3 linked regions of the Struthio camelus genome follow. The protein of the gene in region 1 interacts with the protein of each later gene in a pairwise test. Links are inferred from orthologs where the notes say so. Each region holds a gene or a part of one and is shown in the gene's direction. Other genes may lie near its edges. The genes, in order: INPP5K, ARL6IP1 and MAD2L1BP.

The links.
Region 2: the proteins of INPP5K (region 1) and ARL6IP1 interact in binary tests that used the Homo sapiens proteins (3 or more experiments, as listed by UniProt). The link is inferred for Struthio camelus from reciprocal best matches to the Homo sapiens genes INPP5K and ARL6IP1.
Region 3: the proteins of INPP5K (region 1) and MAD2L1BP interact in binary tests that used the Homo sapiens proteins (3 or more experiments, as listed by UniProt). The link is inferred for Struthio camelus from reciprocal best matches to the Homo sapiens genes INPP5K and MAD2L1BP.

The regions. Positions count from the first base shown.
Region 1 is NC_090957.1:15,964,441-15,974,858, reverse strand, and holds the start of INPP5K (inositol polyphosphate 5-phosphatase K), read left to right. Parts: upstream 1-5,349; 5' UTR 5,350-5,364; coding exon 5,365-5,639; intron 5,640-5,847; coding exon 5,848-5,955; intron 5,956-6,680; coding exon 6,681-6,789; intron 6,790-9,797; coding exon 9,798-9,914; intron 9,915-10,265; coding exon 10,266-10,418. UniProt on the Homo sapiens protein: Inositol 5-phosphatase which acts on inositol 1,4,5-trisphosphate, inositol 1,3,4,5-tetrakisphosphate, phosphatidylinositol 4,5-bisphosphate and phosphatidylinositol 3,4,5-trisphosphate.
Region 2 is NC_090956.1:10,490,348-10,501,220, forward strand, and holds the start of ARL6IP1 (ADP-ribosylation factor-like protein 6-interacting protein 1), read left to right. Parts: upstream 1-6,506; 5' UTR 6,507-6,588; coding exon 6,589-6,624; intron 6,625-8,770; coding exon 8,771-8,904; intron 8,905-10,695; coding exon 10,696-10,815; intron 10,816-10,873. UniProt on the Homo sapiens protein: Positively regulates SLC1A1/EAAC1-mediated glutamate transport by increasing its affinity for glutamate in a PKC activity-dependent manner.
Region 3 is NC_090944.1:103,723,979-103,734,781, forward strand, and holds MAD2L1BP (MAD2L1-binding protein), read left to right. Parts: upstream 1-6,096; 5' UTR 6,097-6,099; coding exon 6,100-6,444; exon of another isoform or gene 6,445-6,453; intron 6,454-7,020; coding exon 7,021-7,551; 3' UTR 7,552-9,433; downstream 9,434-10,803. Other genes in the region: GTPBP2 (GTP-binding protein 2), read right to left, coding at 291-488, 1,046-1,154, 1,457-1,641, 2,225-2,251, 4,293-4,475; epoxide hydrolase 1, read right to left, coding at 9,587-9,788, 10,757-10,803. UniProt on the Homo sapiens protein: May function to silence the spindle checkpoint and allow mitosis to proceed through anaphase by binding MAD2L1 after it has become dissociated from the MAD2L1-CDC20 complex.

The DNA.
Region 1 (10,418 bases):
TATTGTGAGCAAATAGACCGTCTGGTACTAAGCACTCCAATGTTAGCACGTATATGAAGGAGGTAGCTCCTTGGAGACGTGTGACTTAGAGATCGCTGCATTTACGACTCCTCCCTCCTTTTTTTTTTTTCATTGTATTCAGACCAATTTCCATGTGGCCCTGTTTGATTTCCAAGTGACATTTTTAGCTAAAATAGTCTTGTGATGTGGTGACTTAGATTTTTTTTTTTTTTAACTGGGATAAACTGCCACCTTTGTTTGTGCCCAGCCGTTCACCATTCTTTGAAAGTCTATTTGGAGAGGGAACCTCTCAGTATTTTAGAGTGCAAAACTATTCCACAAAATTATATGCCCTGACCTTGCTCCCAAGGTAACAAATTTAATGGCGTGTAATCTGAATACATAATCAGGGAAGCCAGAGATAGTTCTTGGTCTGCAATGAATATAAGCTGATACGTGGCTTCTGCACAGCATTACTTTATTCTCTCTTAGCACACGTGAGTTAAAGACTGAGCAGAAGCTGTGTTCGGCATCCCCATGCTAGGTCCTTCAGCACATAACTGTTGAGTTTCAGTTTAGCGATACACGGTCCCTTTGGCCCATGTAGCCATGTTGTCCTTTAGCTTCATGTGTCAGTCTTATAAGATCATTGTAAAAACTTGCTTGAGAAATGTTGCAACTTCCTGGTTCTTTCTTTAGTAAGACTTAGCATAACTTACAAAACTAAAATTATTTTGACTAATAATAATGTGATTCTCCCTGGACAAATTAGAATGTAGCAAAGCTAGTGTATAAGTAAAGTCTCGGTATCTGATCACGTTCAGGTGCCTGGTTTGGTGGTTCTGCTCAGCAATAATACTCTTCCCATTGCAAGACTGACTTGAAACATGTCATTCCCTTCTATGAAACAGTAACTTACAAAGACCTGCAGTTGTTTTGTAGGATACCTTGCCAGTTTTTAAAAGTTGCAAAGGATACTGTTGAACAATGAAAACAGCTCTGGGTATTTAATGAACTCTAATACTATCTGTTAACTATCCTTATGTTGATACCAGCTTTAGACAATCAAATAAGCAGAACAGAATCAAAAAAATAGTGCTTTATTAAATACATATGAGAAAACCCTAATTTCTTTGCTTATGCATCAGGCCCAATGTTTGACTTCCCCCCCACCCCCAAGAGTCATCACTTTATTTTCCACTTCTGTATTTGGTGGCGCTAACGGAAAATACTGAATGCTAAACACAGACGTGGGTGTATCTGTACCTTCAAGGAGTCTTTTTGGCGTTCGTTAATACATCTGACTCCTTCAGCCCTTCGCATTCCTGCAAGCAGGAAATCCTGAAATGATCCCGTGCCATGCTGAACAAGTACATGCTGGGGTCTGAATTGTTTTCAGTGTGAGGGAAAATGATTCATGGTCTGGAGGGAGAGGATGGCTTTTGGTTACTGGGGAGGGGGCAGTTTATCCCTTTTTTAGTTTGTTTTTTTGCCTTACTCATGTCTAAGTGCAATAAGCTCTGAATTGTACCAGTAACTCTGGCAGGCTCTTCTCAGTGACCTCAGACGGTTTTGCGGGGTGGGGGGGGATGAGGGATTTTTAGCAAACACACCAGGCAGAAGTAAAACAAACTTACTGTAAAATAGGTGAAGATACTAAATCTTAATCTGCAAGGCTATTTGGGACCAGGATGTTGTTTCATGGCATCTCCTGTAGGTGTTCAAGAAGTATTTTAGGAGAGTAGGCCCCACTTAATAGTTCTTTCAGTTTAAAATATTTTTAACTGAGAATTTATGCACTGACTTCTGTTCGTGTTTGTTGGTTACATTTTGAGGGATTCTTACACTTGAGGACAACTTGAGAATACATAGCACATTTGTTCTTTAAATTTGTGTTATCCAAGAGGCTTTCTAGCTGATGACACTAATCGCTGTGGAAGCAGATTGTAACATTCCACCATGCAATCCTTTGCTGATCCTCTGTTTTCAGGGTAAGAGCTCTTACATAAAGCTTTCCTGATTAGTGGAAAAAACGGGGAAAAAATGCAGGAACTCCATCCTGAACTTTTTCTTTCTTTCTTTCTTTCTTTCTTCTCCTTGTTTTCTTTCCTCCTGATTCAATCCAAAGTGAATGCATCCCTCAGCCTTGGGATAGATGAATTCTATAAAAAACCTTTCAGTCTCGATGCTTGGTTCCTGCTAGTGAGCATATTGAAGACCATGCAGCGCCACGGTGCTGCAGCTCTTTCATTGGCTTTGGCAAGAACCCCAAACCCTGCTGGCTCGCGGAGGGGTTACCGCTGGGCTGTTTGTCTGTTCTAGGGCGATGGTTGGGCTGTGACCCTCTCCCCGATCGGTGCCGGTTGGCTCCGAGCGCCGCAGTACCGCTGGGATGCGCGTACTGTGCCGCGGGGGCCCGCAACCCGCGTCGGGCCGGTTTGCCGGCAGGGCCGCTTGCCCCCCACCTGCTGCACGTCTCTGGGTTCATCCCCTTGGGCCTCCCCGCCACGTTCTGATGAGTTCATCGTGCTCTTTCCTTTGGCAACACACACTTTGTAGAATGGGTTAGATTATCTCGTTGTTTCTTTAATGTGAGTTTGTGCCTTTTTTGTCTCCTAATCTTCCAATACAGGCATATTGGAAATGAAATCTAATAAAATACTAGACTGAGCTTTACGCTTCCGCCTCCTTTGTTCTGGGTGCAGCAGTGTGGGGGCCGCAGAGGGGGAGCCCTGGGGGCTGCGAGGCGGTGCGGAAAGGGTCTGCGGGGGCCGCAGAGGGGGAGCCCTGGGGGCTGCGAGGCGGTGCGGAAAGGGTCTGCGGGGGCCGCAGAGGGGGAGCCCTGGGGGCTGCGAGGCGGTGCGGAAAGGGTCTGCGGGGGCCGCAGAGGGGGAGCCCTGGGGGCTGCGAGGCGGTGCGGAAAGGGTCTGCGGGGGCCGCAGAGGGGGAGCCCTGGGGGCTGCGAGGCGGTGCGGAAAGGGTCTGCGGGGGCCGCAGAGGGGGAGCCCTGGGGGCTGCGAGGCGGTGCGGAAAGGGTCTGCGGGGGCCGCAGAGAGTCCCCGGGCGGCGCCCGCGCCCCTCCGGCGCGCCTGGCGGCGCCGCCGCCGCGCCCAGCCTCGCCCCGCCCCTCCAGCGCCACGTGACCCTCGCGCGGCCCAATGAGCGCGGAGCGCCGCCGCTGAGGGGAGCGAGGCGCCGGAGGAGGCCGCGGGCCGGGGTCGAGGCCGGGGCCGCCCTGCCCCGCTCGCAGCGCTTCCCGCCGGCGGCGGCGGCGGCGGCGGGATGGAGGCGGCGCGGCGCGGCGGCGGCGCGAGGATGCTGAGGTGAGCGGCCGCGCCGAAGCCGGCGGGTGTTGCGCGCTGCTTTTTTTTCCCCGAGATAAGGGCAGAAGAGCGGTGGCGGCTTTACGTAACGGCTGGGAATTAGCGAAGCCTGTGTTTCTGCTCATTAGCGGGGAGTTACGCTAATCAGCGCTGTTACGTAGTCACATGAAATAGAGAAGAAAAGCTGCTTTTCCGCTTTGAAAACGTTGCCCCCCCCCCCCCCCCGGAGCCGCTTCAGGGCGGCTTACCGAGGGTGGTTCAGGTGCTCGGGGCCTCAGCGCCTGAGAGGGCCGAGCCGGCGGGCTCGCCCGGGGCCCGAGGGGAGCGCGTTTGTTCGCGCCGCGTCCTCCGCGGTGCGGTGTCGCCGACGGCGGGCGAGGGGAAGCCTCTGCTTAACGGAGCCTGTGAGCAGTCCTCCGCAACGAGGAAAAACGGCAGATAAACCTCGTGTTTACTTAGGGGTAGCCTAATGGTTGTAACGGCCTGTTGGGGATGACTCTCTGAGCCTTAAAAAAAAAAAAAAACAAACCACCACCACCACCCTCTCTGCTGTTGAATAATGACAGGAGCCGGTGACACCGAGTGCCATCTTTTAAAAATTGTTTGGATTCAGGAGCTGATCTGTGGCAGGCCCGCTCAGGGCAGCGCTCTCGTGGTGCTGAAGGCTTCTGCTACATTGGGAGGGGATTCGCAGGTGTTTTAAGATGCCGTGGTGCTGAGTACGGAAGGAGAGGATAGCTTGAGCAGCCACCGATCTGTTGGTAACGGGTCTGTTTGTGGCATCAAGTGAGAACTGGAATTGCTGTAGTCCTTTCCTCGCCGCAGTTAGCTCTTGTATGGCCTTGTAAAGCACTAGAGAGCATCGGTAGGCCTTTGGGATGGCATAATGCCACAGGATCTTACCTACTCTACAGGTACCTATATATCCCTAACTGTTAAGTCTTTCCTGCAGACACGGTCATAACCGGCAATGAAACTGAATCGTTAAGGATGTTCTTGAAATTTTTACAAATATTCTTCTTCTGGTGCAAATTTGAGCTCTGCAGTCTTTCTTGTATTCTTATTAGTAGTGTAGGTATTGGGAGAATTTAATTTCTGTCAGTAATGACTGATAACTTCAATATTGTTTGACTTTTGACTTCTCGGGTAATTGCCTGCAAAAATTACTAATTGGAGAGAATTCCCAAGCGATACATCTCTTTGATGATAGCATGAGATCTGCAGCCTACATAATTTTTTCCTCTAGAAATTTATTTTAGGGTCAGTTTACTGTACTGTAGCTTTTGGCTGACTTCAGTGTAGCCTTATAAAGGGAAACTATTGATGAGAAAAATCGTGGCTCACTGAACTAGTTTGGAGCTTAAGGTCACTTTCCAGTTCTTCTGTGTACTTTGTGTCACCTTGAGCAGACCCTTGATTGTAAGGGGGGATAAAGGTACTGCCTTACATAATGGGTGTGTTGTAGGGATTAATTATTTAACCAGATGGAAGTGCTTATAGGGCCTTTACACAATAAATGTAAAGTGAATCCCTTTTTAGAAGCTGTGATATAGAAAATACTGTTTTAAAATGAAACAGTAGGTAAGTTATGTGGCAAGAGTATGTTTCTGGAAGCACTCAAGAGGAGCAGTAGGTTTGTTTGGTTTTGGCCTGAACTGAGTGTTTGTATGCTGGGAAGCTGGAGATTATATTTCTGCTAACCTACAAATGGAAGCACATGATTGATTCAAATCAACAATAAATTCTTTTAAATCTTAAGCTTATAGAATTAACCACATTAAATCTATTAGAAAAAAATGATTCAGTGTGTGAGGCAGGATGTGACTGCAGCTTTTGTAACAAGCTGTTGAATGTGGTGGTAGTGCTACAGTTTTTTCAGCACTGCTGCATCTGCATTTGTCCTGGGTTTGAAGCAATGCTGAATTTCATATGAGTGAAAGCTTGATTTTTCGAGACCCTTAGGCATCTCGCTGTTTGTTTTATACTTGGGATTTTAATGCATTGGTCCTTTGGAATATAGCTGTTCTTTCCTTCTGAGCAAATGGCATCCTTCAGTAGTGAAGATGCGTTTCAAGAGTCATCAGCCCTCTCCCTACATGATTTAGAAAGCCTGCACAACTTCCGCAGCCGTTCTGCAAGTTTCAGCAGCGCGGGGTCCAGTGGCCGCTTGCAACTCCGTCAGCGAGTAGCCCAGCTTATGGCTTGTGTAGAGGACATCAGCTCAGATGATGAAATTCATGAAGAAGTATCTCGCACTCTAGATGAAGCTTTCCTTATCTGGGGGAAAAAGCTGAAGGACAAGTGGCAAGAATTCAGGTTTTGTTCCTTCACTAACTGATTGTTATTTTTTATACTAGCTAATAAATAGGTTTCTAATTGGCCAAAAAATGACAGAAAATCTTTATTTTCTTTGTTTTCTGTAGACAGAAATTCTGTCAGAGAAGTTAGATGCTCTTCAGGTTACTTATCACACAAAACCAGTGCTAGAATTTAAATGTGAATTTTTTTTTTTCTTTATTTGTAGACTGCACGTAGTTACCTGGAATGTGGGCACAGCTTCTCCACCTCCTGATGTCACTAGTTTACTTCAGCTCAATTCACTGGGCCCAGCTATGGATATGTATGTTATTGGGTAAGTATATGTTGAAGAACTTGCTTTGTTAGTTTACTGCAAAGCCGATAAGTTTCAACAGCTTACTGTCAGCTTGGGGAGAACTGTGCAATGTGAATAACCTTCCAGGAGGTGGTTGAATACTGTCGCTAACAGAAGATGAAGGTTAGAGTTAATGCCAAAGAACAGAGATGATTTATAGCAAGCGACTCTTCTCCTCTTTCTGATGTTGTTTCATATGACAGAACACAGAATATCTTTTCTTTATCTAAGCGCATAGAATTAAAAAATATTTTGGCTGCTGTGGTCTTTGTTGGCAAGTAGAGAACATGCTCGTTTTGATAGGGAAGTTATCTGAAAATCAGTATGTTTTAAAGAAATGGATGCAAACTAATTAGGTAGAATCTGTGCCCTTTTGGATTTGCGTCATCTTTTAGTGAAACTGTCATCTTTTCCAAACTTACTTGAATATGTCAAGATGTGTTCTTTGTCATCGTTTACCTGGAGTTTGGTATTGTCTTGAACTCTGACTGTGTGCGTACATAAGCTCCTTTAACTTAGCTTTTCTTAGTGTTAGACCTGTGGATGGGTTAAACTGCTTGTAAATGAGAAATTGAACAGCGTTAAGAAATTTCTCGCTTAGGTGCAGAGAGGTCTATTGGGATGTTGTGGTTTGTGTTGTGATAAGGTTCTATGAATTCTGTTAAAACCCGATGATCCGGTGCGAGTAATTTTCATGTGTTCAGCTTACAGGAGGTGAACTCAAGGATCACAAACTTTCTCTCTGACTTGGCATTTGATGATCCTTGGAGCATTTTTTTCATGACTGTACTGTCACCGTTGGGATACCTCAAGGTAACTGTTTACATCTCTAAATATTACAACAGTGAAGGAAAATGTCTTCCTCGGCTCCGTTCAGACTTTTTTTTTCCTCAAACTGAGATGTAAAAAACACCATCAACACACATCTTTTACAGGTATCAATCATTTCCATAGGTGCATGTATGTTAGAAGTGATTCTCTGCCAGACTGGTGTTCTCTTGGTTTGTTGGTAAAGGCATTTTTAGGTTTTTTTTTTTCTATTAATAGTAGTATCCTTAATGTTTAGCAGTAAAAATTGGACACACAGAATTTTATTTCGTGTTTGGAATAGCTAGGTAGTTTTGATGCTTTTGCAGATGGGATGACAAACAGCGAGGAGATGTTTGTTCAGGTATGCGTGCAGTGGCTAATGCAAGTGGTGTAGAACCATGTGATGAATACGAAAATACTCCTGTTTTAATGAGAATACATTCTCAAGGAACAGAGTTTACTGAACAAGATTACTTAAAGTGAAATGTGATGTAAAGTTGCAGTCTAACAGCATATTTCTTGTGGCCACAATATCTCTGTCTTTCTCTTGTTTGTAGAAATTTTTTTTGCTCTGTGCAATATTTGGGAACTGTAATGTGATGCTTCTAATGTAGTCTCCTTAAGTACCTGCTTTCACTATAAGTATCCCAAGCAATGGCAGTGATTTTCATTAAGATTGGTAAGGTTTCTTCTTCCTTTTTTTATTTTTTTTAATTAATTTGTTTACAGGTGAAAGTAAATTGCTTAAACATAGAACAGGAGTATAGCAGGTGTATAGATTTTTGAGGACTTTATTAAGGGCCTAGAACATTGTATAGAAAGTTTAAACAACAAGATTTTTGACAATATATGGGACACAAGATCAAATAAAACACTAGGTATTTTAGTGAAGGAAACAGTAAATTCTCCTGAATTTCTCTAATAAATTAATATTAAAAGCCTTTTCAATGTTGTAGCAGTTTTCTAAATTATTTCAGGGTGATTTTGCTGAAATTAATATATTATCTGCATGCTAATAAGACTCATAGTTGTTCCATTCTTTTAACCGTAACTAAACAAAAATGTAATTAAATCAAATAAAGGACCTATTGGAAGTTTAAAAAAAAAAAAAAAGGGAAAGAAAAACATAGTTCATCCTAGTGTAAGATGTTGCTGGTAAACTTTCAAAATATGGCCACAGGATGATAATCAGGCCCTGTATACAGTTAAAATGAATTCCCTATGGTATGCATGGCTGAGTGAATTTCTAATTTGTAGATGCAGAGCTTAGGATGCACTAGTGAATGGATGCTGCCACCTAATGGTTTTCAGCAAGATTTAATTAGCTCCAACAAGAGACCTGGGTCATTGACATGCCTTCCCTTACTGGCAGGCCAGGTCAAAATCAAAATGGGCAACTAGGAGAGCCAGCTTTCCAGATGTGTCCTAGCATAAGCTTTTTTAAACAGAGGAACAGTTAAGTGTTCTATGTTGACCTTGGATGAGGTTGGATGTAGAGGGGTCATAGTCCTCCTTTGGATGTTCTGTCACTTCGCTAGCAGGGTCTGTTCTTGGAACATTAGGTTGTTGGGATCAGTCAGTTTTTTCACCATAAGCAGAGTCATGTCTCTTCTGTGAAGAGGCTTTGCACGATCTGGCACTACATGTTGGTGGGACTAGTGTAAGTCCCAGCAAAGGAGGGAGCCATTGTGTTTTGATATTCAAGGCCTGCAGAGGGAGGAGGTTTTATAGTGGACGGTGGATCTTGAGTTATGTTTAGGGGCTGGCCCGCAGCAGAAAAGAGTGGAACGTAGCAAATAGACTTTGAGCTTTGGAAAACTGGAAGACTTGAGCCGCAGACTGGATCTCCTCTTTACCTGTCATGGTCTCTAATGGGACTGAAAGATCTTGGTATCTCCTGAACTTAATTATGGAAAGGAGAATACAGGTTATACCAAATGTCTGATCAGATACAAATATTTATGTATTATAAAGTAAATTGTGATCCATCATTTAAATATACTAATGGTATGCATTTTTTTCGGACAATGAAAACAGTAACATATATCCTACAATCATTTAATTGTTTTGATGTAGAGGCTAAGAACGAATGAATTTTGTAGTAAATTTTCGAGCGAGATAAGGACTTGTTATATAGTCAGTGTTTTTCTTAGTATCAGTTTTTATGCTAATGTAGTCTTGCTGTTAGTTCATCAAATATAAAATTGAACTATAACATCCGTGTTTTAAATAGACTCATTATCATTAAAACAAATATTTAAACTGAATCTTGTGTCTCATGCTAGCAACATCCCAATAACATATTCTTTAACAAAGATCATCTTCATTAGGCTATTTCTATACCAAAAAAAAAAAGTATCTTAAAGCAAAAACAGTGTCATACATGCTCCTTAAGGATCTTTCTTTTGGAAGTAGTCAGTAAATCAGCTTTTACAGGCATTGCAGCAAGAGTTGCTGCTGTTTACAGCTTGTTATTTCTGCAGATGCTTAGAAGTAGCTGTTGTGCCTTTTAGATATTTTTAATGGAGTTCAGAACAGTCAATTATGTGCTGAAGGATGTTTCTATTGGAAAAGCTTTCTTGTTGGAGGACTTGTAGGTTGGTGCTGTTAAGATTATGGCTGAAAAATCAAGGATTTGTCTCTTCATGAACAGGATGCTTAAAGAGAGAAACAATAGGCTGATGAGACAGAAAAAAGGTCTTTAAAGACTTACTGTGTGGACAAATACTCATGTTTTGAGGTCAACTTCAGATTTGTAATATAATACAGTAATGTTAATTAGTTGAGAGACTTATCAAAAATTGTTCATAAGCAAGTCTACCGTGAGAACTTATGCTTTATAGCACCGAAATGTGTCTGCATGTGTTGTATCACAGTACTGATGTCAGGCTTGCCAAGGGAATTGCATGACTTCTGGTATGGCATTCTTTATCTAAAAGCTTCTGCAGAGTAGATCCAAGGAATTCCAGAGATATCTGTGGAAGTGACCCTGTCTTCTGTTTCTGTTCCAGCTCTCCTCTGTTCGCATGCAGGGATTGCTACTTCTAATCTTTGTGAAGTATGTCCACCTTCCTTTCATACGGGACATTCATACCCAATATATGCGCACAGGCCTCTATGGATACTGGGTAAAGAACTATCTGAGACTTAATTGCTTTGGTTACTTAATGCTTATGTTGGTGCGTGCCTCTAAATAGCCTTGTGGTGGGAGAGAGGATGTATGGTTTATTTAATAATGAATAAATTGACAAGCCGTATGTGTCTCACTTAGTTGAACCTTGTATGCAAGTGCAGTACAGACCATAATATTTCACCAATTTATTAGCTGAAATACAGCTATTACTTGCTACTTATTTAGATTTAAATGAACACAACTGTTTCCTAAATAGCAAGATTAAAAATGGTATAGGTAATGTTAATAGTTGCGTTTGCAAGTGTTGATTGCAGTTTCAGAGAATACTGTTAACCTTCCATGGCAGGGGAACAAAGGAGGAGTTACCATTCGCATGTCCCTCTATGGTTATACAGTTTGTTTCATAAACTGCCATTTGCCAGCTCACATGGAGAACACAGAGCAACGATTGGATGACTTTGAGAAAATTCTGGAAATGCAGTTTGAAGGAGAGAATGTT
Region 2 (10,873 bases), on another chromosome or scaffold:
AGGGATATGCTAAACACAATGGTCTGCAACCCCCAAGGTCAAGGGTGAAAGTTCACCGCTTGAACAGCACGGTTTGTCTTTCTGCTACGGAAGAACTGCAAACGTGTCTGGGGGTTAGCTGCAGAAAGAAATCGGGATGCTACAAACCGCAGAGTGATTTGGAACTCAATTCCACCTGACCCTGTGAACAATTCAGGAAACACCGAACCCTGTTCAAAGAAAAACAGAAAAAAATGGGGCCATGAAGAAATCACAGCAAAGGAAGATTTGATGCATTCAGATTCTTGTTACTCTTGTTGCTTGGCAACAGTGCTGGTTGAGTTGACCAGTTAGTACAGAAAAAGGCTACAAAATGTAAACTTCAGAAATGGACTGAAAGCAAAGAGCTAAACATCAGATATACGCTGCATTGGAAGAACTTCTGAGATAGAAGAAAAAGCCTTTGTTCTCTTCTCCTTTTCCTCTTTCCTTTCTTTTTTTCCCTCCCGGCCTCTCCTTGCATAGCCCTCTTCTGGCTTATTCTTGTAGTTTAGGCGTACTTCCAATATACCTTTTATTTCAATCCTTCTACTTCACAGTTTAGTCAAATTAACGAATTTTGTTTGGTAAACCAATTTTCCCAAAGCACTGAAAATGTAGAACATCAATGATTACTTATGAGTTGGATGGTCAAATGCAAAATGTAATTTTGGTTATTTTGAAGTCACTTCTGTGATTCTATCATGTACAGTTTCTCAAAATTGTCACTGTGCATTTAAAAGTAATGAATCCTACAGGCATTTGATTTAACGTGCACTTCCCTCTGCTTGCAGTGTACACTTTTTTGTAATTCAAATTGTCCCTCCAATTCATTCTACTGTGATTGCTGTAGTTTCTTTCGTACGACGTACCTAATCCAATGTAATCTTTACCTTTTTAAAAACCAGGATAGAGTATCTAGTAGAGTTTTACATTGTTGATGACAGATAAACAATAAAGTGATGTTCTGGTGGAGGTAGAGTGATACGCTTTTTACTTCACTTTCCTAATACTTTTAGTTTACACTTGTAAATTATAGTGCTTCGGTTCACAGGAGTATACATAAAATCCAACAAATGAAGGACGCTCCAATTTTTGTTCAACTAGATTTGTAAAGATTTCTGCAAAGTAATTTTGCTTTGCCATATTACTTCTATAGATGGTTGTTCAATAATGCATTCATAGTGAATCTTCCACCAAGGCTTTTTGTTTTTTTTAATCAGTTCTGCACTCAAAGTGTGATTATGGTCAGAAAAGTCTCTCTAAAAATGGCATCTTCTTACTTAGAACTATGTCCTGCTTGTCTGTGAGTTGTCTAAAATACTTCTTCCTTACCTTTAAAAGGAGCTTGGACTGTCTTTGGCTCTGGAACACCTTTAGGAAAAGGAAACTTGCTTTTCTTATACCAAATAAACCTAACAATTCAGTTGTAACTACAGAATCTGTTACAGGTGCTGATATCCAAGGCAGAAATGCACATTGGCTTTCTCTGGCTCAGATAAATTTGCATAGCTACATATAAAAAGTTTCCTTTTGTAAATTTGGTGAATATATTACATGCAGCTGCTGAAAAATGATAGACATGGGAAGTTCCTTTAGGCCATTTTAGTCACTTTTCAGAGTAAAAACACACTTTAATTTTTCAATCAAAATTTAAGTATTAAAGAATTTGAGCCAAGTTCACTACTAGCATAGAATTCATTTAATTGAATGGATTTACAGCAGTTCATCTTGAGTAGAAAGCTTGGCTAATATTTTTCAGGTAACAAATTAACACCAGACATAAGTAATAGAAGAACTTATATTATTTTCAGTATTTGCACTATGCTAACTGCTCTGCCTCCTAAGTAGATCTTAGAGTTCGCTTTTTCCTCTGTTGCCAATTTTTCATGGACATGCACTTTGAAGTGTAAGCAATTTCAACAGACATGGCCTTTTTTTTTTTTTTGGTTGCATTCTGATTGTCTGATTAACTCCAGAGAAGTCACAGGCTTTATATTTAATGATACTCGTGCAAATGCATTCCACTGTCATTGCTTCCTGAACCCTCTGCCATGCCATGTATTGCAAGAAAGAAGGTGTTTGAATGTTGCAGTGAAGAACATTCATGTGCAGAACAAGACACTTTACACTGTTGGTCCTTTTTACTTTTTCTCCAGTTAAAAATAACCTTATGAACAATCTGTTTGGAGTACCATAGTAATAAGAGTGTATTATACATGCTGTTTTATTTCTTGGAAGTTGGGGGAAGGGAGGGGTAATGCACTCACCTGTGGCTCATGTATTATACCTCTGCTGTCCAGAAATGAAACACTTGTGTGGAGATGGGTTCTTTACTGCATAATTTAATAAAGTTTTAAAAAAAAATTGTATTCATAATTTTCCTTTTATGCAAAACTGTTGGTGGTTTTGAAAATTATGAGGAAGAATAAAAGGCCTAGTACATAAATCCCAGATTAGGACTGGATTCTGCAGAATTAAGTGTGTAATGTTAAGGAGACAGCTTACCTGTTCAGGAGTTTGTGGGACTGTCAGCTTTTATGTGTTGAAGTCAAAAACACATTTTTCTTTCAGTCTTTGTTAAACCTAAAATAGAGTTCTGAAGCAGGTTTTGTGCATGCGTGTTGCATGTTAAAGACGACTGTTCTTTACAAATCTCTTTCCTGTAAAGACATAAAGTTACTTTATTTCAGTAAAACTGAGACATCAACTTTGTTGCTGCAACAAAACCTAGAATAATGCAAATCTAGAATCAAAATCTTCGTACACACACGTAAATCAACTGAAGTAATAGAAGCTGAACTGTTCAGCTGATGGCAGTGTTTTTGCATGATGCTCACCTGCAGTGAATTTTAACCAAGGGATCATGCTATAAATGAATTCCTTGCAGTCAAATTTGAAGTGGGTGCAGCAGTTTTAAGTTGCTGCCTCCTTTCAACTGTATAGTCTAATGGCTGAGATATTCTTCGCCTTCTGGGACTCCAGTTACTAGTTTGTCTATCTTCCCACTCCCCTTCTCTAAAATCAGGGTAGAAGCACTGCTTTACCTAATAGGTTATTGCAGTGTGTTTAGGCCTAAGCAAATGAGTCTTCAGTGGCATGTCAGGTTAGTTTAACTCAAGTTGAAATCGTAGCAAATACTTACAGTAATGGAATTTTTAGTGCTTTGCAGTACTTTTTTCATGATCTGTTTCTTTCCTTCTTAACATCCAATTTTGCATTCGGTGATTATTCTTTTTAAAATGTTTTCGTCTGTAATTTTTCAAATATCTGTAACAAACTCAAGTCTGTTATATAAATCAGAGTTTTGAGACATTGCAGGTGGAGAAAAACATTTTTCATTTTTGACTGGAGAAGGCTTTGAATTGGGTTTCTGTAGAATCATTGGTGAGACTTAGTGCTATGTCGTCTTGCCTGGGAAACAAGCATGCTTCATTGTGCAGACTCCACAGTGGGAATCACAGTGACCGTGAACGCAGCCCCTGCAATAACCACATAGCTGTCTGCTTTCTATTCAAAGCAGTTAACAAAGGATAAATACGTTATCTGCTTTGAGATCTCTCAAGGAAAAGCACCATATACAAATGTTATGCCAAAAATACTGGAGGGGATTGAAGAGTTAAAGCTTAATTTTTGTAAACATTGTGGTCCTGAAGATCCATTTCCTTTCGTCAGTGTACTGTACCTAGTACATTTGGCCTTGCTGTTTTAGCACGCTCAGGTGCTTCAAAAGTTTATTTGCCTGCCCCTCCCCTTTTTTGGCAAGCTTTTTCTGAATTAGCAGGCATGCCCCTCTATGGATTAAATATCATTCTAGGAAAAAACATTTAAGATGAACTGCCATTCATCTAGCTTTTGCTTTCTTAAACACATGGGTACGCAAGTATCATATGCAGTTTATATTTTTTCTTTAGTGGAAAATACCTATTCAGGAGTGCACTATTAGCATTTTAGTGAAATATCATTTTTTTTAAGAAATTTAGATAAATGTTAAATATTAAATTACTTTTGTGTGTACCTAAGTGTGTAGCTAATCAGATCATTTTTTCACTTCTATCCGGCTTTGTCTTTTTGTTGATAGCATAAGGGAAAAACATTTTTAGATGCATTTATTATGTTTTTCCATGTGATGAAGGGGTGATGAAGGGGTGAGCAAGTCTGAAGCTTGCTGCAAACTGTGTGTGAGAATGTCAGTGTATGAACAGTGCCTCTACCTTGCAGCACTATCTGCATGATATGTAGAAGCATATAGGAAACAACTGGTTTTCTATTAGTTCAGGTAACGTGTGGGAAGTGAAGAACAGACTTGCCTGACTGGGTTTCCACACTCTGAGCTACTGATAGCGCTGTATCCTAGTCCTGTATTAGGACTAGGAGTTTTAACAAATGTTGTATTTATATTTATACACATACATGTATGCACACACATGCACCTGTTTTTTGGATTTGCATCGTGCTTCATGGCCTGGCTGTTCACACAGGAGAGCACTGAGCGGCCTGGCAGAGCCTGATGTTCTTGCGTTCTCTGCTCTAGGGCACGAGCCCGAACTGATGCTCTTCCTGGACAGCGAGGATGTCCTGGGAGACCCACTCTGCCCTTCCCCCTCCCCACCCCAGGTGCAGAAGAGCACTTACGCAAGGGAGGGAGACCTGTGTGGGTCCACTGGGTCAGGAGAAAAGCTGGAGCTGTAGTCTCATTTGGGAACTGGCATTTGAAAGACCACCTGGGAGATCAATGAATCTGGCGGTGGGGATGGAGATGATAGAAAACATCTGCTTTTTTTATTGATGACTGCTGTGTTTTTGTGGTGAAAATCATCCAACTAGATGAAAGTAGGAGCTGGCTGGCTGGCCCTACTGAGGACGCTGCGACAATAACAGCATGGTCACGAGTAGAAGCGCAGTGCGTTGCTTTCTCAAAAGACTTTCATCAGAATTGGTGCTGACACCACTTTCTTATGAAATTATTTTTTGTTTGAGGCTTGCTGTAGTGCAATAATGGATTTTGAGGGTGGAACCCAACGTTTCTGAGGTAAGAGCAAAACTATACACAAAGATATTCTCAGCTTTTAGGAACGGCAAGTAAATTAATTTGAAAGTTGTTCAGTAAAGTATCTATTCCTTATAGTGCTCTTCAAAGTCATTCAAGATTCTGGAAGATCAAAGACAGGTGAAAGCTAGCACTGTCCCCTTTCTGCTCTGTGTCAAGTTCGTGAATCGAGGTGAAGAGGTGGAAGAAGAGTAATGCAGGTTTTTTGTTTGGTTGGTTGTTTTTTTTTTTGCCCCTCGCTTTGGAGTTGCGTTACATCCTAGCGGCTGTGATTAAGCTCATAAATGTGTCAGTCATGCATGTATTAGGACATTGAGTCGGGAAAAAAAAAAAAAAAAAACAACCCTAGTGCATTTCTCCCATGTCTATTCCTGTGCTACTACAGCTTATGAAAAAATTAAAGCAAGTTGTTAGACTCCTGGTGGTAATTATGGTGCCTAGGTCAGTTGTGGTTTTCAGACCTAGTGCAACTTCCAGGGAGCTATGGGTTATTTCATCTGCTTCCTGTGTGGTAATCTTGAAGGCATCTCTTGCAACTGGATTTAGCTTTCTTAGAGGTGACATACTGGTTGTTTCACATTAGTCAAAGGCAATCAGTTTAAATATATATGCTATTAAAGACATGCCAACTTTCTTAAAGTTTCTGTTAGTGAGATCTTCTGGTGACATTTCTGACATTTCAGCTGCAGCAGGGTACTTAGTAGTCTTGAAACATTCTGGACGTTTTCAGTACTATTCTTAAGACATGCTATATATGACAAGCAAAGGTAACATTTTAAAAAAGCACATTGAGAAGCCTTTTACTTAATACCTTCTGATAATCCCGTTTTTATGTTATAGGGCTAAGACTTTTAAAAATAAAAACAGATTCCCTTTGAAGGTCTTAAGGGGACAGGGATTAAGACGGCTAAATAAAACGTCTGCTTAACACATTGCACGTGCCTCTACCATGAAATCAGTGTGGTGTGTACTGAGCCCAGACAATTATTTTTTGACTAAGCAGCATTAACAACACTGCAGTTACGTCTCAGATGTTGACTGCGCTTTTGCTGGGTTGCCGTCCCCAGGACGCCTCTGGCCCTTGAGCAGCTTCCTCGCTTTCCAGCGTGCTGCCCAGCGCCTGGGAGGGCGCAGGCCCCCGGCACCCTGCACCGCTCTGGACCGGCTCCGCCGGGCCCAGGCGCCGCCGCCGCCCCTGCGGCGGCCGGGCCGTTAACGGCCGCTCCTGTCGCAGTCGCACTGCGACGGAGGGGGGGGTGGGGGAGGGGCGGATGCCGCAGGCTGATTGGTTGAGTCTCTCTATTCAAATTCCCACCGGCCAACCGGCCGTCGGTGAGACCCGGCCGGCGCTCTGGGATTGGCTCGCGCTGCGTTTCGAGCCGGCCAATCGCGATGTCGGGCAGAGCTGCCGCGGTCTGACGGGAGGTGGGGGCGGGGAAGGGGACCGCGGCTATAAGAGGCGGCGGCCGCCGCGGCGCCGCGGGGCGCGGTCGGGGGCGGCGGCGCGAGGGCGGCGCAAGATGGCGGAGGGCGACAATAAGAGCAGCAACCAGCTGGTGAGGGGCCGCGCTCCTTCCCGGGGCCGGCGGGGTGTTGCGGTGGCGGCGCCGGGCCATCAACCCCCGCCGGTGGCGAGGCCGCTGGCTGGGGAAGGGCCTCGGTGGGCCCGGAGTGGCCTCTCCGCGCCGCGGCCTGGCTGGCGGCCGCGCTCGGCCCTGCCGGGGGAGAGGGTCGGGGAGGCCGGGCCGGGCCTGGCCGGGCCTGGCCGCGGCGGCCGCCGCCTTAGCGGTGTGAGCTCCGCGCTCGCCTTGCCGCTGCCGTGCGTGGATGGACTCGGGCCTGGCGGAGCCTGAGTTCGACTAGGGCAGCTCTGCGCCGCGCTTAGAAACGGCACTGCTGCTGCTGTGCTGCTCCCAGCCTCGTAATAATGCCTCGCTTTACCTGATGTGCAAGGCTTACGTTTAACGTTCATATCTTCATGTTTCGACATACTTTGGCTATGTTTTAGATGTTTAAAAGGTGCAGGAAGATAGTGACAGGAGCTGGATAATTAATGTAACTAAAGCACGTAAAAGGTGGCCTTGGCCAAGGGTGTGACTGTGTCCGTCTCTGTTATGGATGAACAACGGGTGCTGGGGAGACTGCTGTAAAAGCGTGGGGCTGAAGGGGTGAAAGAAAGGAGACTTTTGAGTGGAGTGCCTACTAATGTTTTTTTGAACAGGAAGCTGGACAGTTAGGAGATACTGAGGGAATCAGAACTGATGCTTTCTTTCAGTAGCTTAGAAGTGGAAAGAAACTTTAAATTTCAGAAGGAAAAAGAAACAGATCTATGTTGCCAAAAACATGTTCTATGGTCTAGAGAGATGCCCCCTTCAGAATGGAAGTTCATGTTTCTGGAAACTTAATGTTCTTTGGTTAATGACAAATCACTTTTGGTGGACGTGTTTTGGAATTAAATAGTGTTGCTGTTGACAAAACTGACATAGTAAGTTTTTTCTACCTGGCCCTGTGGGCAAACAAGTTACAGTACTCATAGGCTGACAGAGGCAGACTGCTACTACCAGCTGTGTTATATTCCAAACTGTTTCCCATTAAATTTTCTTTTGACTGTGTTGTTAGTGGCAGACAGCTGGAAGTAATAAAGAAAAACAGTTTGTTGTAAAATGCTTTCTGGAGAAATGCAGCTTTTTTTTTTTTCCATTTTTATGGGGGTTTATATTCTATAAAACATGAAATAGATGTGATAACTCGAAGGCATATCAGGTAGATAGCTATCCACTCTATTTTGTCTGTAAGTGTAGTTTTAAAATAGCTTACAATGGTATTGTATAAGAGAACTGTGCTTTACCATGGTAGCTGCACGCAGCTCTCTCTGTTATCCTGGGAAATGGTGTCAGGTTTCTCATTTGAGGTAAGTGTATCATCCACTGGAGAATTAAACCTGCTGTGACATCTCTGCACGGCAGATGTGCAGATCTTGATGACTTTTAACCTCTTGCTATGTAGGAAATAGTCTGTTCTGTTTGTGGTTACTTGAGTTTTGTAATCTGAGATCTCTTGTCCCGCTGAGGGCAAACTAGTAAATTTGGCACTCCTCGGGCCAGCTGCTCAGCCAGCTTATGCTGGAGCAGATCCAAAAGATATGCTGAGAGCAATTGCATAATGTGATGCCTTTGCTGGTGTAGGAAGGAGTGTAAAGGTCCCCTTGTCACAGTCTTGGGCAACTTGTGGAAACTGAATTGTGGAAAACTGAAATAGACAATTTGGGATATGACATAAGTGCTTTATAGAAGAATACTTTTTGTTAGGCTCTATATTAACAGGTTTTGTAATTCTTTTAAAAAAAAAAGGCTTTGAAGGAGAGGAAGAATGGGAACATGCATATGGTTAAACAATCATTGGAAAATATATATAGCAAAGTGCATAAAGTGAACTGGAGAGTTGCCTCAGTCTTTGTACCAATTAATATACTGAGTTGAGAGTTGCTGCTACTTTGCTGGAGTCTTGACTTTATGCTAAAGTGTCACTGCTACAGTGTCATCATATGGTAGGCAATTTACAACATCATTAGCAATGTAAATACACAGAAGGATTTGTGACTGCAGTCTTTATTTAATATATGCTCTTTAGATACTTCACATACAGGAGCTAGTGTGATATTCTGGTTAGTAATAACAAGTTTTCTTCTCTCTTCTTGTGTAGGCTGCAGAAACTGCTAGCTTAGAAGAGCAATTGCAAGGATGGGGAGAAGTGATTTTGATGACTGATAAAATTCTTCGCTGGGAGAGAGCCTGGTTTCCTCTTGCACTGATGAGTGTTGTTTCCTTCTCTTTCCTGTAAGTAGCTCATGGAGCATAGACCAGCATTGTGCTCTCATGGCTAGTGGCAGAAGTGTTAAGAAAACTACTAAGACGTTTTCTTTAAAAACCTAATGGGAAGCTTTCTTACTCCAAGTTCTGTTCCTTAATGCATGTTAACTTTCTTGAAAAGAAAAAAAGAACTGGGAACAAGAACTAACACCTCTCTCATCCCACTCAGATCTTGTACTTCCTTTCAATGTCTTAGCTATAGACTTCTTAAAAAAAAAAAAAAAAAAAAAAAAAGTGCTGGGGGTGAGGGGAGAGGTGATGTTTTCTGGAAAAGTTTGTCAGGGATGACTGCTGTAGCTTCTTAGCACCTTCAGCTGTATGCTGTTCCCTTTTTTTTATACGTATTTAACCCTCACCCTTTGTATGCTACTTAGTCAGATCTGGTTATCTTCTGTGGCTTTTTTCCCTAAGCCAACAGCAATGCTATTATGGTCTTAAGTTATGACAGAAAGCTTGTTCCCATTGGGCCAACTTCTCTGAAATGTTAGCAATTTTGCACTTTTGGCATGGTGTTTAGGCGGAATTCAGTCATCTTCACACAACTGGTACTTTCAGACTGGCTCTTGCACTCATTAAAAAGAGAGCAGGAGGGGAGAAGGAAAGACTGTAGGTAATTTTTAGTCAACAGGGTGGAAGAATGTTAACCCTCTCTGGGTTAGAGATACTGAACTGCATTGCTGGAGGCGCTTGTATGTGCTTTTATGTAATGCTGTAGCAGCCAAGATGACCCCTACAAGCCTTATACAGATAAGCGTCTACACCTGTTGTGAGGTTTGCCAGCTGCATGTTTTCTTGGAGTGAAGAAAAGAGGGCAGTTATCATAAATGTTGAACTAGGTGAGGTAGGGATAAACTGTCTTCTGGCTACTCTGAGTAAAGCTTATGGTTCTCAAGGGAGGTGAGAAGGGTAGAAATCAAATGAGGCTGAAAAGTAACTTCAGAAGTGTGACTGCGTGAACTTCAGGACATTCACTAATAAATTGTCTGTAATTATAGCAGGAAAGATACTATGCTCAATAATACTATGAGGAAGTAGAGCTACTGCAAATCCTGAATTTGGAATTGGTACTTCATCAAACATGAACTGGAGCATTCAGCATGTAGCACTGTGCCTGATGTATAGAAAGATTGGGCCTGCAGTGGACTGTCACCTCTGTACTTCTATTACTTTAGTGTTGGGGAAGAGCTGCTAAGTGCAAATAAATAACACAGGGTGCAGTTAAGTATTAAAAGACACTCATGAGATAAGCTAGTTCTTGTCTAGAACTGATACAGTTGCATTTGAGTCAAAAATGCAAAGTTAGTATGTCAGAGCACAACACAATTGGAGGCTTACAGCTCCCAACAAGGTTAGAGCTTTCACCCTACCTGGTTACTTCACTTGCTCACAAACGGTCTTGCACCCCTCACTCTCCCCACCTCAGCCAGTGTAATGTTTGCTGGGTCTTGACTTCTGGGAGAGCAATAATGAATTTTGAGATCTAGTGTATTTCATACTATGCTATATTCTAGCATTTTCTTACCTAGTATGTTAAGAAACTAGTAGTTTGATCAGTAATATTAAAGCAAATACAGATTCAATGAAATATTTAGTAGTAATAAGAGCAAATTTGAAGGGGGGGGGGAAGATTTTTGCGCGTGGGCAAGAGGGTAGGGTTACTGTTTCCAATTTTGAGCCAATTTGAAGAGATGGCTAAATATGTCAAGTATTTAGTAGACTGAGCATCCAGAAATCATTTCCATTGTTTTCTTTCTACAGGATGATCTACTACTTGGATCCATCTGTTCTTTCAGGCGTTTCCTGTTTTGTTATGTTCCTCTGTTTGGCTGATTACCTTGTTCCTGCTCTCGCCCCTAGAATCTTTGGCTCTAATAAGTGGTGAGGAAAGTTCAAACTGAAATAGTTTCTTGAGTATGTAGAAACTATGAACTTAAAC
Region 3 (10,803 bases), on another chromosome or scaffold:
CATGAGGACTCAGTAAGAAGGAGCACCAGCAGGCAAGTGAAGGAAGAGCCAGCCCTTACCAGACCACCTTGACCTCAAAATTAGTGAATATAGATCATTCTTTATGGATGTAAGAAACTGTTTGTTGCAAATGGACAGGCAGCACTCGAGCTTAGCTAAGGGGACACAGAGCAGAGCAACCTCTCTTCCGTCATGTCCCCTCACTGTTGTAACAGTAACAAGCAGCCATACTCTCCTTCACCATCTCACCCTCTCCCAGCAATTTTGAGTTCAGCAGGCCACTCCCTCACCTCTCCTTTGCTGTTGAAGCCCAGGATCTCAAAGCTGATGCTCGACGTTCTTCCCGACTGGATTTCGTGAAGATGCCGGAAGAGGTTGAGGCGTGCTCTGCCCCTCCCGTTGTCTAGCTCTCCTTGTGTCAGGACACCCAAAAGCGTCGACTTCCCTGAGTCCACATTCCCCAGCACAGCCACTCGCAGGTCTAAGAACTAAGGGAAAAGCAACAAAGAAATCGGAAAACTTCGCCACTGCTGTGCTGGTTGGTGCACCCATGCTGCACGGCAGCAGAGATGGGTACCAGAGACTTTCCCTGCACGATGGGCATTGTGCAGCGTAATCTTCTTCCTCAGATTCTGCTCCTTCTCTCAGCAAATCACAGCCCAGGAATTGCAATACACTTTCTACCATTGTGATGTCATACACCAGCCTCTGACATCAGAAAAAAAAAAAGTCATTTGTTGCAGCAATAACTGCAAATCCTTCCCTGTTTGCACACTGGGCTGCATCACAACCAGTGCTATAGAAGTGAAATAATTCTCACCTCTCATGCAGGCAATCTCCCCTACTGGAATCTGCTGCAATCGCAATCCTGGAGATGAAAAACGTTGCTCTCAAGCTTCTCTTTGGCAACTCTTTAAAGCACCTGCTATGGGCCAATCTAGGACAAAGCGCCTCTAGGGCTTGGACTCCCATCCCAAAAGGAAGCTGCTTGAATGAAGGCTGGAAGTCTCCAGCAGGAGAGGACGGCTAAGCTGCAGGTTCCTACCTGCTGGTTGTCAGGCACCTTTCGGACAAGGACTTCTGTTATCTTCCTTGGAACGTCGCTGTCGTAATCGACCTCCCTCTCCCGGAGCACTGTGATGTCTGCCCCAACCCTGCCACAAACGCAAAGGGAAGAGTGGGACACGCGTTTTGTACTCAGCTGCCCTCGGCACCTGTAAAATCAGACCTGGCAAAGTGAACGGGCCAAAAGCTGGAAACCGCAGGGCAGAAGCCTCAAGCTTCCAGGCAAGTTGCCCTGCTATTCCCAGAGCCTTGCGCTAAGGGAATTTCAGTCATACAGAGGCTTTGTGAATTGGAGCCCTTAGTTCCCCTCCTCTGCCCCTTGGGGGCCGAGCCTCTCTACACTGGAGGCTGTTTACGCCTGCAGGCTCCAGTGAGGGAAAGGAACACATACTTCTCCGCCATACGGCGCAGTGTCTTGAGCGAGGCACGCATCTCCTCTTCTGAGAGGCCCACCAGCAGCCCGTTGTCCTCCACGCCAATTTGATAGACAGCCTCACCTCGGCCTTCTTGTAGTCGCCACTTCATCTGTGTCACCAGGTGCTCAAAGCGATATTGCGAAGGATTCACTAGCTTTAGCTGTTCAACGGAGGGGGTAGTTAAGAGTCACAGCCTGGGTACACAGGGAATCCCATTGCCCAAGGAAGCAACTCCCCAGCCCAACACCATGAAGCAATGCCCCCACCCCACGTCTTGAAAACACACCTGATGATAGTAGGGTACAAGAACATTCCTGCATCTTGCAGAAGGGATCTGTACCCTGCCTGCTCTGGCGGCAAAGAAACAGCACCATGCGACATATTTGTGATACAGGAACCAAATAACTGTGAACAGCTGGAGAGCCACAAGCAAGTGGCAAAGGATTATCAGGGATACCTCGATATCTCCATCAAAGGAGGAAGATCTCATGAAAAGTACAGTGGGTCTCATCTCCTAAACCAGGTTCCTAAAACAAGCAAGGAGATCCAACTCTTCCAGCTCAGCATACTGAGCATTGCTACATACAGAGACCCAGAAGTAGACAGATAACTCCTTAGTCCAGTGCCTATTTTTCTGTCCCTTTCTTGAACGTGTCCCCCATATGCTGTCTTTGCTGAAGTTACTCACTGCAAAATAATCCTCTGGGAGGAAGACCTCCCTCTGCAAGGCTCAGAAGGCTCACCTTGTACTCGATGTTCCCATCTTCTGCCTAGTCAGAGAATGAAACAAGATAGAAAGGTCAGACCCTGTGCCAACAGGGACAATAGGCACCAGCCACCCAGGCACTGTGAAGCTCCTGCTACCATTTTCAGAGAGAGGGAAAACTGCAGAAACATACAGTGTTAGTCACAGCCTCTCCTGCCATTCATTCCTACATTGTACTGGAACTTACTTTGGGTTCGTTTCTGCTGTTTGCATCACACAGTACGAAAAACAGAGGCTAAATTAGAGTCATTTCTTTTACTGACAGCAAAGGATGAGGCCAGTCTGAAAGTCAGAGAGACTTTCAGTTTCAAAAAAACAGCACAGGCTGGCAGATGATCAGAAGTCTCCACGCACCCCACTCAATTCACATCCCACACTGCCACCACACACTATCCAGCACCTTCTGTCCGCCCAACGTGCATGAAAACAGCTGGCTGGGGGTAAAAGTCGCTGTCTCCTCTCCCACACACCGCTATGCCCTTCATCCAATTATTTTTTCATCGACTCTTTCCTATATCCATGCACATCTACCTTGCAGAGAGAAGGACCTTCAGACATACGGAAGCAAACTACTGACTTGTTTGTAGTACAGCAAAGTAGTCACTGGCCTGACAGTTCTGGAGAAGCAGATACGATCAGGAGCGTCTGTGGACAACATCCTCGGAAGGGCTGCAGTCAGATTGGATTGTCACAGCCCGAAACAGAAAGACTCATTAACTCATCGAGCGCACTCCAACCACAACAGGCACCAACTCTCAGAGAAAACGTATGGCCACTACTGAAGTAACTTTCCCACTGCTTCAGTCCAAGGACCACTGAGAAAGGGCTGGAGCCTGCAGGACACCAAGTACTCTGACAGACTAAACCGGGCTGCCAGCACTGAGCACTTCCCTTTTCTCTAGACACTGATTTGCACGTCAAGAGAGGCAAGAGCCTCTCCTTGCCTTCTAGTTCAGCTCCTAACCACAGCAGAGCTTATGGTGGCAAAAGGCCAACAGAGGGAGGCTCTGAATTATCAGCTCTGCTCTTGGCAGTGAAACTACTCAGTGAGAGAGCAGTACTTGCAAAAGGTTTTCCTGTTACCATCCACCATCCTTCCAGCTCTAAGAGAAACACTGCACGCACATGCAACGCTGTATGTGATAAGGGGGTGGTGGGTCGGTTTCAAGGCAGCCGAGACCAGAAAAGCAACAAGTCTAGACTTGCTGGACCACACAGCGAACAAGGCAGCAGAGGACAGGAAGCTGTGCTGAAGCCACAGGGACCGTCCAGCCTCCAGCTGAAAGGAACAAAACCCAACTGCAGCGGCAGGGGACAGTCCTGTCCGTGGAGCAGTCATCTAACAGCAGCTAGGCCCCGTACTCCCTGCTGCCACGGGGAATTGCTCCCCCTCAGCAGGCTCCTACCTCTTTTACAGGACTCCTGTTGACCGGGGCTGAGCAATCAACTCCGGGGCAGCGCAGGGCTCGCCACAGCGGCGGTCCTATCGGTTCCCCGCCAACTGTCTGAACTAACCAACACGCTACTTATTGCCGATACCGTATTTTCCGGCGGTAAGAGGTGAGCGAGAAGACTGCCTCTCACGTTGTCAGCGCCCTCCGCACCCGGGCGCGAGGGCACAGCGGCGGAGCGAGCCGCGAAGGGTGTCACCAGAAGCTGCCGAGCGGTGTCTAGTAGCTCGGCAGCCGGCAAGACGCCGGCACCCACCAGACCGACTGCCCAGCAGCGGTGCCAACAGCAGGCTTGGGACTGCGAGGCGAGCAAGGTTTTACTCCCCGAGCCGTTCAGCTCCCCGACGGCAAAGCACTGCCAGGGGCACGCCAGGCAGCGAGCCGTCGCCGACGGACGCGGTTTGGCCGAGCGCGCCGGGGGCTGCCCGGCACCACGAGCGCTGCCACGTCAAACCCGCGGCGGGGGAAACGGTGCCGGCGGGGCCGGGCTCAACCGCCTGCCAAACCGCCTGCCAGGCGCCGAGCCCCGCCGCCCCCCACCCCACCGGGACGCCCCGCAGCCCGGCCCCGGCCCGGCCCCGCCGCGGAGCTCACCTCGGGCGGCAGGTACGGCGGGTTGTTGGCCTTGGCCCCCCGGCTCCGCCCGCTCTTCTTCTTCGCCTTGGAGGAGCCGCCGCCGCCGGGCGCGGCCCCCCCGCGCCCGCGCAGCGCCCCGCCCGCACCGCCGCCCGCCGGCCGGCAGCAGCCCCCGAACAGCTCCGACACCCGCGAGTCCATGGCGGCGCGGCGCGGCGCGGCGCGGCCCGGCCCGGCCCGGCCCGGTGCGGCGCCCGCTCCCCGCCCGGGCTCGGCTCGGCTCGGCTCGCCGCCCCGGCCCCGACCCCGGCCCCGGCGTCAGAAACCGCCGCGCGGCGCCACGGGAAACTGAGTCCCCGCCGCCGGACTACACTTCCCGGCACGCCCCGCGCCGCCCCCCACCGCTCAGAACTACGACTCCCAGCACGCCCCGCGCCGCCCCGCTCCCGCTCCTATACGGGCTCCCTCGGGCGGGGGCGGACGGGAGTTGGAGTCCGGGGGAGGCGGGAGGGCGCCGCCTGGCGGCCACCGCGGGCATCGCCGACAGGTCGCGCCCCCCAACCCCGGGTGCTCCCCCGCCCCTCTCCTCGGCCGTGCTTTGGGGAGCGGGCCTGGGCCAGGGAACCACCGAGGGTCTCCGAGGGTGCAAGGCTGAGGGAGGGGGTGCTCCTCCAGCACCTGCCACCCTCCCTTGGGGACTCTGCAATTCGCAGCTTATGTTGCCGGGGCGCAGCCTGCTGCACGCTTCGAGCCCTGATACCCTCCACTTCAGTGACAGCTATTGGCACCGATTCCGGCTGGCAACAGGGACAGGGAGCCAAAAGGTTTTTACGAATAAGGTTTGCATCAGAAATACTTAATAGCTATACAGAAATGGTATCACAGCACGGAACTATAGAGAAGATACCATAAGCTCTGCTGAGAAGGGTAAAAGCAACAGGCTGAGGATGAGAACCTCCTGCCACGTGTTGTCACCTTCTCTGCCAGTAATGCACTGCATGTTTTGCCACTCATTTGTCTCTCTGATGCTACTACTGCTACTGCCAGTAAGCCTCATTTTTCTCAGCTCCATCCCCTGGGGACAGAGATGCTCGATTAACATGTGCTACCATCAACAGCTTTTAAAGCCTTTGGTGCTTTTAAGAGGTAGCCAAGGTCGCCGTGCTGTGCGCACACAGCGCTCCTCACCCTACGGGAGCACTGGGGAATTGCTCATCCCATCACCCACCGGCGCGACCGCCCTCCCCGGGCCGTGTTTTGGAGGCTGCGCCCAATGGGGCTGCGGCCACGTTGTTTCCAAACACGACAGGCCCTGGCCGCACGCCACCTGGCCCGGCTCCCCCGCCTCCGCCTGGCAAACAGCTTCGCCCGGCGCGGCAACGCGCCGCAAAACAGCGCCCCGGGAGCAGCCCAGCCCGGGCAGAGCCAGCGCGGCTCCCCCCCACCCCGGTCAGAGGCCTGAGCGGGCTGGGGGGCCGGCAGGGCCTTCGGCTTGGCCCCGGGGGGCGCCTGACGGGCGCTCGGGGACCAACGGCACTGAGGGAGAAACCGCCCGCCCTGCCTACGGGAGGGCTCACGGCGCCCGCGGCTGGGCCGGCGGCGCCTCAGCGCAGCGGGGCCGGGGGCTCCGGCCTCACCAAGCACCCGCACGGCTGCCGCACCCGGAGCGAGGGCAGCGCCCCCACGTAGGCCCGGGCCCCGCTCCGCCCCCACCGAACATGGCGGCGGCACCGCCCCGGAAGCCGCGCGCGAGAGCGCTCCCATGGTGCCCCGCGGCGGCGGCCATTCAAATCCGCGCTGGCCACCGCCCGCCGCCGCTCAGAAAATGGCGGCGCCGGGCGGCGCGGAGCGGCCCTGCGCCCCAGCGGTGGCTGTTGCGGCCGCCGCCCCCACCCCTCCCCGGCGGGCGACCTCTGCCTTGTCCCCGCTCCTCACAGCCGAGGCGCCGCCGGCCGCCCCGGAGCGCGGCGGGGTGAGGTCCCGGCGGAGCGGGGCGGCGGCGGCGGCAGCGGCGGGGTGCCCCTCGGTGTCGGTGGTGTTCCCGGGCGCCGTGAGCCGTGAGAGCTGTTGCCGCTTCGCCTGCGAGCTCCTCAAGCACGTCCTGCACCAGCGGCACCAGCTGCCGCTGCCCTACGAGCAGCTCGTCTACTTCTGCCGGCGGGCGGCGCAGGTGGGCGGCGGGGCCGGGGCCGGGGCCAGGCGCGGGGCCGGCGCGACGCGGCGCTCTGCTGGCGCCGCGGCTTGGCAACGGCGTCACTTTCTCCTGAAACGAGACGCCCGCGTTAGCTCAAGCCTTAGCCATGCCGCAGCCTTGTTTTAAAATAAGGCCGACAGCTAAAAGTGTCAAGACGCTGCTGTTAATCCCTTGCGTCCCAGTTTCCGCTCAAAGTGCGTGGCTCGCTGTTTTGCGTTTGTGGCTCGGCCAAGCCCACCGCACGCTGCCTTGCTCTCAAGTGGCTTCAGGGTGGTTTCCCCACCTTTGAAAGTTGGGGTCCCTAATTGTTGTGAGGATTCATTAGTAGCCTGATGCAGGTTCAAGCTGAGCAGCTACCGAGTGGCCTTTTGCATTCCTCTCGGACCTCCTGATTCCATATGAGCTGCCCTGTACCTCTTAAAAGAAAAAAAAAAAATCTGTCCAACCTCCCTTGAGTGTTAGGGAAGGGATGTGCTGCACCTCACAAGAGTGTATTAAGACCTCTTCCCTATTTTTCTCAAGTATTCTAATTCCCCCTCCTCCCCCTGACAGGATGGAGACGTGATTAAGAAGCCGCCCTCCATGGACATGGCAAGCAAGAAATGCCAGCAGGTGCTGATGGAGCTGGAGGGGGTGCTCCAGCACTTGGAAGTGATGTTCAGTTTGACGCTGGTTCCCCGTGTTCTTATTCTGCTTGGTGGCAATGCTGTGAGCCCCAAGGAGCTTTATGAGCTCAACTTAGAGGGTATCTGTGTGGGCAGCGCTGAGGAGAGCCTGAAAACCCCATTCTGCGTGCGTAAACTTTTTCACTCGCTCTTCATAGCGGATGTCTTCAGTGAACTTAAGGTTCTCCCCATCGTGGGCACTGTCGTTATGCTCCAAGGACACCGCGACTGTGGTGTTGATTGGTTCCGGCCCAAGCTCAACTACAAAGTGCCGACTCGAGGAAGGAAACTAACTGTCAACTTGTCCTCTGATGGAGACGTCAGTATAAGTGCCTCATCTCCTCAGGGTATGACATCGGCCTGGGAGGATTACATATGGTTTCAAGCACCGGTGACACTCAAGGGATTTCATGAATGACTCGTGCTTTATAGAACTTCAATGGATTATTGAATAACCTTTGGTGCTGCTTTAGGTGATGACTATTTTATCAAATGTAATTGCATATTCTTGTCTCTCTGGATCTTTTCTCCAGGGCATCTGCTATCTTCCTGTAGCTGGACTGTGTTCATCTTTCTATGAAACAGCTGTAAAATTCTTCCCCATGTTGTTATTGAAAACAAATACCTTTTAAGGTACAGTTACATATCGATACAGGCATTCTTTAGGAACCTGGGCTGTGGCACAGCAGATGGAACTACTGTGCTGGGAGTAAAACTTTCTTGCAGCATGCTTACTGAACTGGCAAATACTGGATATGATCTTCTCTCTCCTGAGTTTTAATGCAGCAGTTCCTCTAGCAATAATTATTACTTTACCAAATTGTCTCAGACTCTAAATAATGCACGTGATTATTAATGCAGTTGGCCTTTCCAGGGCTTAGTAGCCTTTATAGTAAAGGCTATAGCAATTCTTACCTATCCCACTGCTGGGAAAAGAGATCTTTCCCTTTAGTGTGATCAAATTTGAATACTTAAGTGTTTGATCATCTATTTGATAAAATTAGACTTCCCATAATTCAATGTCAGCTAGTTAATCATCCAAAGAGTAGGACACCTTAGCAATTGGGAGGTTTCTTACCTAGCACTGTGCTGTACTTGTGAAAAAAGGTTAAGCAGTCCTGTGGAGGCAGAAAAGCACATTTTGGTGTCTCTTTATGAACCTTGACTCCAACAGCCCTGACAATCAGTTTGTTAAAATCAAGAGTAAGTAATTTTTGTTCTAACACTCTTCAGAGGAAGTTAGGACTCCTGCCCCATTATGCTGTTTTTTTCTCCTTTAAAAAAAAAAAAAAGGCTCAGTTCTTGCTTACTTTTACCTCTTAGAAATGTTAGAGTCTTAGACTCTAAAGCTTGCTGAGACTCTAAAGCTTGCTGAAATGTGGAGAAGAGATGATGGGGATATGATCAACTTCAACACTGTCTTTAACTGTGAACTTCCTGTTCCAAATTGGAATGCTCTGTATTACCTGGAAGTAGAACTTGAGCCCTTTCTTCTGTACCAGGTCTGGTGTCTAGTGCAGAATGGGACACAGAGAGAAACCCTTAGAGTACGCTGTGTCAAACTAGATATCCACTGGAGTCGTCTTGCATCAGCTGGGTACGTACCTATAATGCAATGAGTTTAGTAGCTCCAAATATCTCTCTCCTGTTTGAAATTGTAGGCTACTGGTAGTGAGGTTGCTTGTAGTTTCTTACTCGCACTAGTGAGGTACTAGAAGATCTGTTGAAAGGAGGCTCTGCACTTATTCCTTTAAAAAAAAAAATTGTCTGACCTTTTGGAATGGAGTAAGATTGTAGAACGGGAAGCAAGGTAGTTAAGTTGACGTTTTTGAGCTTGGAGAATGCCAGGAGTGCTGTCTCTGCCTTACTATCCGTTGGTTAACAAAGATGTGGTGACTGCTAAAGCTAGCTCCAGGAAGAAATTGCTAGAATGAAGAAAGCTGCCTTAGGTGCAGCTGCCCACTTCAGCATGTGATCACAGGTCTCTTGACTGAAATGTGACTTGAACAGGTGGAGTGTTTGATGTGCTCAGGAGATCAAAACCCTTTACTTCCACCACAGCTGCTTGTAATGCATACTTAAGAATGTTAGCACTCAAATATTTAAAGAAGCTTTTGAACAGAAGCCTTCGTTCTGAGGAACAAGGGACCGGTCCCTTTCCCCTCCCTCCCTTAAGTGAGTGCAATGTTATTGCATTAAACTGTTTACATATTCTGTTATACTTGAATTATGAATGCAGCAATGATAGGGTGTTGGGAATGAAAGACGACAAGATGCCTTCTTTTCTTATGAAGAGCTTTAGAGCTTTATTAACAAGTCTAGTAGTTATCAACAAAATAAAATGCTGGTCTCTGTATGTGACTACAGTAGATTTATTTAACCCTTCAAAGTACTGCTTCTGGTGGTTGCAGAGCAACATGCTTTGATTCTCTGTACATATCTGAACTGTAGGTTCACAGTTGTTCCACCTTTCTGACAAAGTGCCTGATGTCTTGTGCCAGAAGCCTTGGTTCCTCGAAGGCAGCAAAATGCCCCCCACGTGGCATGTAAGAGTAAGTGACAATGTTCTTGAAGTTCTTCTTTGCCCAGGTGCGCGGTGTATGTACTATCTCGTGAGGAAAGGCTGCAATCCCTGTGGGAACGTATATGTCGACCCTAAAAGGACATTAGTTAACTGCATTTTTGAAAGACTGTTCCTGGGGGAAGTCTATAAAACTCTTCTGACTCTTGTAACTGCCACAGTGAGTTGAAGTTTCACTACAGCAACTTGTTTTGTGGTCTGTACCCAGCTGAAGTGCTTCACTTGTATTTGGATCTCTCCTTGAGTTTTGTAACAATCCTGATTGTTACAGTCAGATATGTAAAGTAGAGCTGACCTTGTGCACAGAGTTCAATCTTAAATTATTTCAGATTTTTAAGCTTGTCTTGCTTGGTAGCTTTGTGACATGTGACCCTTATCCTTCTGAGAAGAAAGGTAAACTGGCTTGGCCAGTCCACAGAGAACAAGATTCTCTCTTGTTCTTAAGGTCAGTCACTTGAAGAGCAGTTTTGCTCAGCAGTGTGTTTTCTGGTCAGCCTCTGTAGTAGTAATCCTAAAGCTAGTAGCTGTTAGAAGGTGTTTGGTCTCAAGTACTGCTTTTCTAGAAACTTGCTCCTTTAGTAAAATCCCTTCCCAAGTTGCTTCCTTAAGTCCTTGATCAACAGCTGTAGTTCTTAGTTTATCCACCAGTAAGCCATATCCTTCCTAATTCAGTTTAAGCTCCCCAAAAGAGATGCTAATGTGTTGGGTTTTTTTTTCCTTTTTACAGAACTAAGCCCCAGCCTAAATTTGTTCTTCAGGCAAATAATGGTATTGACTTGTATTTTGAACAAAAACGTCTATGAATCTCTCTTAATATGTTCTCTGCGTTGTCTTGGCTGCAAGCCAGCTTATGAGCCTTACAAGTTCACAAGAAAAGTGACCCTTAACTATACTTATCAACAGGAAATAAGAACTTGGATTTTTTTTTTTTTTCAAAAAGTAAGTGTTAACTTTGCTGTTGTAAGTGATCTAAATGCTCAGGCAAATGTGGTCCAATCCCCATATCTGTTGCAAATCTATCCTGCACCTGCCACTTAGTTACCTTAAATCAAGGCTACTGGGGAAGTTCTCCTTGTAGAAACGCATTGA